2 linked regions of the Cricetulus griseus genome follow. The protein of the gene in region 2 interacts with the protein of the main gene of each other region in a pairwise test. Links are inferred from orthologs where the notes say so. Each region holds a gene or a part of one and is shown on either strand. Other genes may lie near its edges. The genes, in order: Lims1 and Rbbp8.

What was found.
Region 1: the proteins of Rbbp8 (region 2) and Lims1 interact in a two-hybrid assay, tested with the Homo sapiens proteins (2 studies listed by BioGRID and IntAct). The two-hybrid records come from large-scale screens. The link is inferred for Cricetulus griseus from reciprocal best matches to the Homo sapiens genes RBBP8 and LIMS1.

What each region holds. Positions count from the first base shown.
Region 1 is NW_023276807.1:2,689,301-2,693,124, forward strand, and holds part of Lims1 (LIM and senescent cell antigen-like-containing domain protein 1), read right to left. Parts: intron 2,430-3,824; coding exon 2,270-2,429; intron 1-2,269. UniProt on the Homo sapiens protein: Within the IPP (ILK-PINCH-PARVIN) complex, binds to F-actin, promoting F-actin bundling, a process required to generate force for actin cytoskeleton reorganization and subsequent dynamic cell adhesion events such as cell spreading and migration.
Region 2 is NC_048595.1:224,638,552-224,642,375, forward strand, and holds part of Rbbp8 (DNA endonuclease RBBP8), read right to left. Parts: intron 3,653-3,824; coding exon 3,515-3,652; intron 1-3,514. UniProt on the Homo sapiens protein: Endonuclease that cooperates with the MRE11-RAD50-NBN (MRN) complex in DNA-end resection, the first step of double-strand break (DSB) repair through the homologous recombination (HR) pathway.

The sequences.
Region 1 (3,824 bases), on a different chromosome or scaffold from region 2:
TGGAGATAGGTGCTCCATCAATCTTAACCTCACTGATTTCAGCTGGAGTCTAGGCAGCAAGTCCCAGGTGGGTCTTCCTGTTTCTGCCTCCTTAGCTATGGTATTATAGACATATGCCACTACCAGGTTTTTTACACAAGCGCTGGAGATCCAAACTCAGGTCCTCATGCTTGCACAGTAAGCACTTTATTGACTAAGCCATCCCGCATTATTTCTGGGACCTCTTTGTATGCTGTGGGACTTGTCATGGATGTCTATGATGACATGTTGTTTTGACATCCACTGTGAACAGAAGTTATACTTTCTCATACCAGAGGTAGGGTTCAGTCCCCCTAACTGTCTCCAGTTTTGTGCCTCCCAGCTCCACAGTGTTACCAATCCAGATGTCTGTCATACATCACTGTCCCTGACAACCTCCTACTTGTGGTCAGCTAGACACAGACTGTGTGGCTGGGCTGACTCCCACACCCAGCATGGAATGTACTGATCCAGACGTCACAGCACAGTCACCTAAATTGTGTCTGCTTGCTTTAAACCTACTAGTGACAACTCTTCACAGGAGACCTTTTGTATGCTGATACCCAATGGAGCTTTGACCCATGGATCCTGTCTCTACCTCTGCCTATACTTTCCTAACCTATGTGTACTGACTTCTAGGCATGAGTAATAAAAGCTTCATATTTACCTTATGTCTTCCCTAATTCATCATAAAGATCTTAAAATCACAACAGTATTATCTGGTTGAGTTTTCGATTTCAGATCCTTTTGTCAACTTTAGAGTTTTCTAAATTGAGTCACAGCAGTTCTAAGAGCAACCCTCCCTCCCGTGCTGTTACAGCCACTAGGGGCCCAACTTGTGCTTCTTTGTACCAATCACAGCCATTCAGACTCAGCAGAGGTTTGGCCCGCCCACCACCATCCATAAATCCTGGGAACTACCTCCAACTTCTCTTCTCCTGCAGTTGGACCCTGACCTCTCCTGTTCCTGTCCTTCCCAGTCCTAAGACCATCATTCCTGACAAAAAGAATAAAATTTTATTCTGTGACTATATGTTAAATGCTATTTCCTTGAGTTACATACAGACAATTCATAAATGGAAGTTTGGTTTTTTAAGCATCTGTGGAGACAGATGATGTTTTCCAGGCTGACCTGCAAATTTCATTCCCCAGAGGCGTAGGAAAATGTCTCAGTGTAATAATTAGTTTAGTAATGACCATTATAAACTACCTTTCCTTCCTCAATCATGGAGACAGGAAAATCTAAGTTTGGTAGGAGAAAAGGGATAGAAAAAAATCAAAGGGGCTGGAGGATGGCTCAGCAGTTAAGAACACTGGCTGCTCCTGCAGATGACCTGGGTTCAATTTCTATAACCACATAGCAGCACACAACATTCTTTAAATAAAGGTCCAATGGATCTCACAACCTCTTCTGGTTTCCAAGGGTACCAGGCATGCACAAAGTAAACAGACATATATATGCAGGCAAAACACACATACACATAAAAATAATGGTAACTAAAAAAGAAATCAAAGAACAGACATTTTAGCTGTATCATAATTCTATATATTGTCATACAAAAACACACATTTGCAAATATGCTAAGTGGTGTGGTAGCAAAAAAAAAAAAAATGCCAAAGTTGTCACTCTCATTTTCACTCATGACACGGGGGAGGGGGGGTGAGCCTCCCTAGGCCATCTCCACAGTACATGTTTACTGTGATAAAAGGGTTTCAATAATGGTGGAAACACAGACCATTTGATGACACTGAGAAAAACAAGTGTTTAGAAATATCTCAAGGCACACAGTGTGGGTCCTGCAATATTCAATTCCAAACAAGATCCTCTTTAGAAAATGCATTAAAATCTCCAGAGTATGGCTTGAAGATCAGGAAGTAGGTGACACAGGTTCCCTTTCAGGAGGATGTCCAATGATATCCTGATAAAGGAAGACACAGGATTGGGATGGGAAGATTCCATGTAGGGCAAGCACTGAGGGAGGCCAGAGATGCTTCTGCTGCAAGCCTTGTAAAAGGATTCTGTACTTGGAGTAGAAGTATTCAGTCTGACACAGTCACAAGACACTGTAGATTCTGGAATAAGGTGAATGATGGGCATGAATATAGGTAGGTATGCACAAGATCTTTTTAGATTGTGACCTCCATGTCCCACATGCACTTCATCATTGACCTTCCAGGTACTAAATACCTGGCACTTCAATTCAATCTTTGGAAATGAATTTGAAAGAGAAGGGTAGCTCAGTTGACCCACCTCATAGAAGAGTCCTTCTGGGAACTGCTGGAAGCACTGAGCACACACGAAGCACTGCTCATGGTACAGCTCACCATTACTGTTCACAATCTTCTCCGCAGGTGCAAAGCCCCCCTTGCAGCGCTCACATGTAGCGCTGGCCAAGGCATTGGCCATGTTGCTAAAACACACAAAGGACAAGATACAGATTGCTAACTTGTAATTAGGCTTAAGACCAGATGACATCAAGAACTGAGGAGCAAATTCTACCTGGACATAAAAAGTCATATTTTATCAGGTTTCACAAATACTGTAACTTAAAATGGCAGTCTCATTAACAAAGCCCTTGGGTTTCCCCTGCTTTGCTTCTGCTTGACTTTAGCCTTTTTAGCATTTTTGTAAACAATGATAGATAATAAGAACACAAATCCAAGCCAAGAGTTCCTTTAGCTGATGCAGTGGGATACACCTGTAGTTCCAGCCTTTAAGGAGGCAGAGGCAGAAAGGTTGCTTGCACCCACAAGTTCATTAACAGCCTAGGCCATAGAGCCACAGTATGACTCTGTCTCAAATAAATAATCCACGAGTAATTGTTCCCCACAAGGACTCAGGCTTATAGCTGGATAAGTAACTTTAATTAAAATGTCCATGTTAATGACTTAAAATAAAAATGTCTTTGCTATGGATACAATATTTAGATGATATTGCACCCCTCCTCCAGCTCCCCCCGGACTCTCCATTCCATAATCACCCTCCCAACTTCATGACTCCACCTCTCCTCGTAACACACTAAGTCCAATCAGTGCTGCCACACGTGCATGAACGTAGAGCACCAACCACTGGAGCAGGGCAACCTGCAATGAGCCACAATGCAAAAGAAAACTGATTCTTCCTCCCCTAGGCACCATCAATTGCTAACAGCTTCTTAGCTCCTTCCCTCTGTGAGATAACATCTTAAAGTCAGTCAGTTTCTTTCTTTTTGAAGAACAAAATCTAAACTTCATTCAACTAAATATCATATTATAGCCTCAATTTAAATTATACCTTTGGCCGGATGCGGTTGAAAGCAACTGCTTAAAACCTCTGAAAACTATACAAGCTGCCTCAGTCCTATTAAACAGTACATAAGAAAACACTGAATACTAGCATTATAAAATGTATCTTAAAATCACAGAATTTTATGTTATAAAGATGATTTTTCCAGATAAAGGGATAGGTTCAGAGGTGGATGATGAATTCAATACCATTGAACTAGCTTCTTAGATTATGAGTGACACAGGCGTAGAATCTAGGCTCTCTGCTTACAGGGAACCATATCCATCACAGATCAGATCCTTATTGCAAACTCTGCAGAGTTCCTGGTAGGTATGCAATCATGTTTTGCAGGTCAGGAAAATGAAGCCAGACAGTAGCTAGCATTGAGTGACTCTTGACAGTTCCCTCATGAGCAATACCACTACACCTCAAAACACAGGATGTAATCAAATGAATAATTTCTCTAACCACTGGTGCTTCAGATGAAAGGCAGTATGAAAGGCAAAGAATCAGGTGAGAATTTCACGTAAATACTATTTTG
Region 2 (3,824 bases):
TCCGATGCTTGTTCCTGAATCTTAGGAGTAAAGGCACAAACAGTTTCTTATAGTAAGAGCTTGTATCGGTAAAATTGAGGTGGAGGTGAGTATGAAATATTGACAGCTTCTTAAGATAGAACAGGGGCCAGTAGGCTGCACTCTCCTGAGTGGGCTGTTAGAAGAATCAGTGTCACCCAGTCCTGCTTGTCAGTGGGGACAGACATTTGTGTCTCCTACTCAGTGGTTGTCTTTGAAGCTCTGAATATGGTCTATTTTCAAGGCTTCTCTCCTTGTCATGCGTCCTGTCATAAGAGATAATTAATTGTAGGGAGATAGCTTCTAAGTTATGTACATTTGACTATGAGAACAAAAGGTTTCCTTGACTGTGTGAATAATTCACACCAGGGCCCCACAGTGTTAGAGGTTATCCAGTTTACCAGTACAAGAGGGAGTTGTGCCCAATAATTGATGAATACATTGCTGGAGTTTTTTTTTTGGGGGGGGGAATCCCAAAGGAGGGATGCTATGGTTTCATAAGGGCTTCACAGGGATGACAGTGACTATTCAAAAGGCAAGTATCCCCAAGGCTTTACAAGTGGGGATTTTTCTCCCGTGGAATTCCAAGGGGTAGCCTGGTGAGTTTATTGACTAAAATCTCACTGTATGATCTTATGGACCACAGCATTATGTAAAAGCTGATTCATACGTTTCTACTTTTAGCCACTGGGTAGATGGGTAGGTATTTGGCAAACAATGAAACCTGGAGTGGCAGGAGAACATAAAAAACTGGGGTAGAAAAACAAAAATATACTGGGCAGTTGGTAGTGAATGCCTTTAATCCCAACACTTGGGAAACAAGAGGCAGGTGGAAATCAGTCTGATCTACAGAGTGAGTTCTAGGACAACCAGAGCTACACAGAGAAACCCTGTCTTGAGAAACCAAAACACAAAACAAAAGAAAAACAAAACTCTATTGATTGTCTAGATACTGAATGGGTGACATAGAGGAGTCTAGGGAAAGGAGCACAATGAATACACAAAACATTTTCCCTTAGCTTCCAGAACAGCAAAAACAATTTCTTTCCTACCTCATGTCCTGAGCACCATCTGTTTCCTTTGCTGCTTCTGTTAATGTTTCGTTCTCTCCCTCTCCTCCTTCTGTATTTTTTTATTTTATTTATTCATTTAATGTGCAAAATGTTTGTGCTTCCACAATGACTGTGGAGGTCAGAGAACAAAGCCTGGGACTTGGTTCTCTCCCTCTACTACGTAGATCCCAAGGATTGAACTCAGTAGTCAGGTTTGGCAATAGGCCTTTACCCATGAGCCATTTAACTGGGTCACACCTCTGTTCTCTTTAAGTTGCTATATCCCTTGGGCTGAAAAGATGACTCAGTCATTCATTAAAAAGCAAGACTCACAGACAGACCATAATTTGCTATATCCCAGAGGTCAGAAACCTAGGATGCTTTTCCAGTGTCATGGCTTTATGGAATGTCTACTTTCTGTTAATTTCCTGTCCTCAAATTATCTTTTTACTCTGGATTTCTTGCTCAAAGTCTACATGCACTAATTGCTTACTAATAGATCCATTTGAATGTTTAGCAAATAAAAATCTGTCAGAATGAGTTTTTGATATTGTTCTCCAAACTTACTTTTTCCTATGAAGGAAAATCAGTCAGAACTTTAGTATAAGAGTTGTGAAAATGAAAAGTTAAGCTCTAATATTTATGCCAGTGGTTGAAAAAAATAAATTATCTGTTGGGAAATACATGGAACGTGGCTTAGACATTAACAGTTTAAGTTGATGAGTCACAAAGGCATCTAACAATTACTTACAAATGCAGGTCTGGGATTCATTAGAAGTCAAACATAGAAATTCAGATTTGAACTAATTTTCAGTAATGAATATAAAAGCCTTGAGCAAAAATGCTATGAGGAAGGAAGAGCCTTAGAAATATTCTACTATATAGAAGTCTAGAAACCAAATAGTCAAAAAAGAAACGAGAAGTTTTGAGATGGCCAGTGTTTAAATGTAACATGTGATACTTAGCAAAAATTTTAACTTGAAATTGCAATTATCTTCTTAAGAGTTCCAAGTAGATGGAATACCCTTTACTATCACACTACCTTTAGAACACTAAGTATATTAGATATTTCCTCTGAGAAGATAAAGTACTCACAGCTGTGGTGATATTTTGTTTATGCTATTGACAAATAAAGCTTGCCTGAAGATCAGAGTGTGGAACTAAGCCACTAATTAGCCATAGAGGCCTAGGCAGTGATGGCACACATCTTTAATCCCAGCACTTGGAAGGAGGAAGCAAGAAGATCAGGAGTTCAAGGCCACCATGGGCTACACAAGATTGAATCAGTCTAAAAGAGAAACAGAGCTCACATCTTTGATCCCAACACTTGGGATGGCAAGCCTTTAATATCAACACTAGGGAGGTAGAGCTGGGAATGATATGGCCAGGCAAAGACAGGAATATAAGGAGGAAGGAGACATGAGCTCAGAGCAGTCTGAGGATTCAGTCTGAGGATTTGTAGGGACAGCATCGTCTGTTTGGTCTGAGCCTTGGTAGAATAAGAACTCTAGTGGCTGGCACTCTGGTTCTCTGATCCTTCAGCTTTCACCCCCAATAGTTAACTCTTAAGTTTTTATTATTAAGACCAAAGAGAATTCATGCTACACACAGCAGAAAACAGATCTAAACTTTCTGTGAATCTTTTCTATTGTATTACTAGTATTGAAAAAATTAATAATTATAAGATTAAACTTTCTCACATTTTTAATATACACATACTTCTTTATATATTTACATATATAAATATAAAGTTGATATATATGTATGTATGTATGTAAAGAAAATTATAGAACCAAGATTAATTTCTTAGTTCTAATACTTCAGTTGTGTAAAATGTTTGCATAAAGATGTGCTCAGTGGAAGGTATACACTCAACTTCTTCTTTGAAATATTTCCTTAAGTGGAAGTTATTTCAAGTAAAAGAAAGTAACAGAGAGAGATGGCTCAAGTTGTTGAGAGCACTGGCTATTCTTCCAGAGGCCCTTCTGTAATTCCAGTTCTGGGTGATCCAATGCTATCATCTGGCATCTATGGGCACAAGGTACATATGTGGTGCACAGACACATACACATAGGCAAAACACTCATACACATAAAGTTTTAAAAAATATCTGGAAAAGAAATTAACATAAGAAACATGAAACTTTTAAGCCGGGCGTTGGTGGCGCACGCCTTTAATCCTAGCACTCGGGAGGCAGAGGCAGATGGATCTCTGTGAGTTGGGAGGCAGAGGCAGATGGATCTCTTGTGAGTTCGAGACCAGCCTGGTCTGCAAGAGCTAGTTCCAAGACAGCCTCCAAAGCCACAGAGAAACCCTGTCTCGAAAAACCAAAATAAGAAACATGGAACTTTTAATAGTTGTAATCAATCCTCTACTAATTAGCTTGGTAACTTAGTGAAACCAGTATAATGGAAAAGATATAATTAAAGAGAAAACAGACTTACTGTTTGGTTTCTTTGTGGCAGCAGACAATTCTTCATTTGGTACCTGGGGGAAGCTATCTGCCAAACAAGATTCATATTCTTCATGTGTTGTCCGATCAAACATTTCTTCCAAGCTATCATTTATTGTTATGTCTCCATCTATAAAAAAGACATTGGCTTAGCAGCAGGCAAACTTTGGCCTTCTATGAAGCCCATGAACTTACACGTTAATATTAACGACCATAAAGTAGTATAATAAGGTCTTTGAGAGTACTTGTTTTATAAAAGATTCTTTTTTTTTTTTTATTAGTTCAAATTAGGAAAAAGCTTC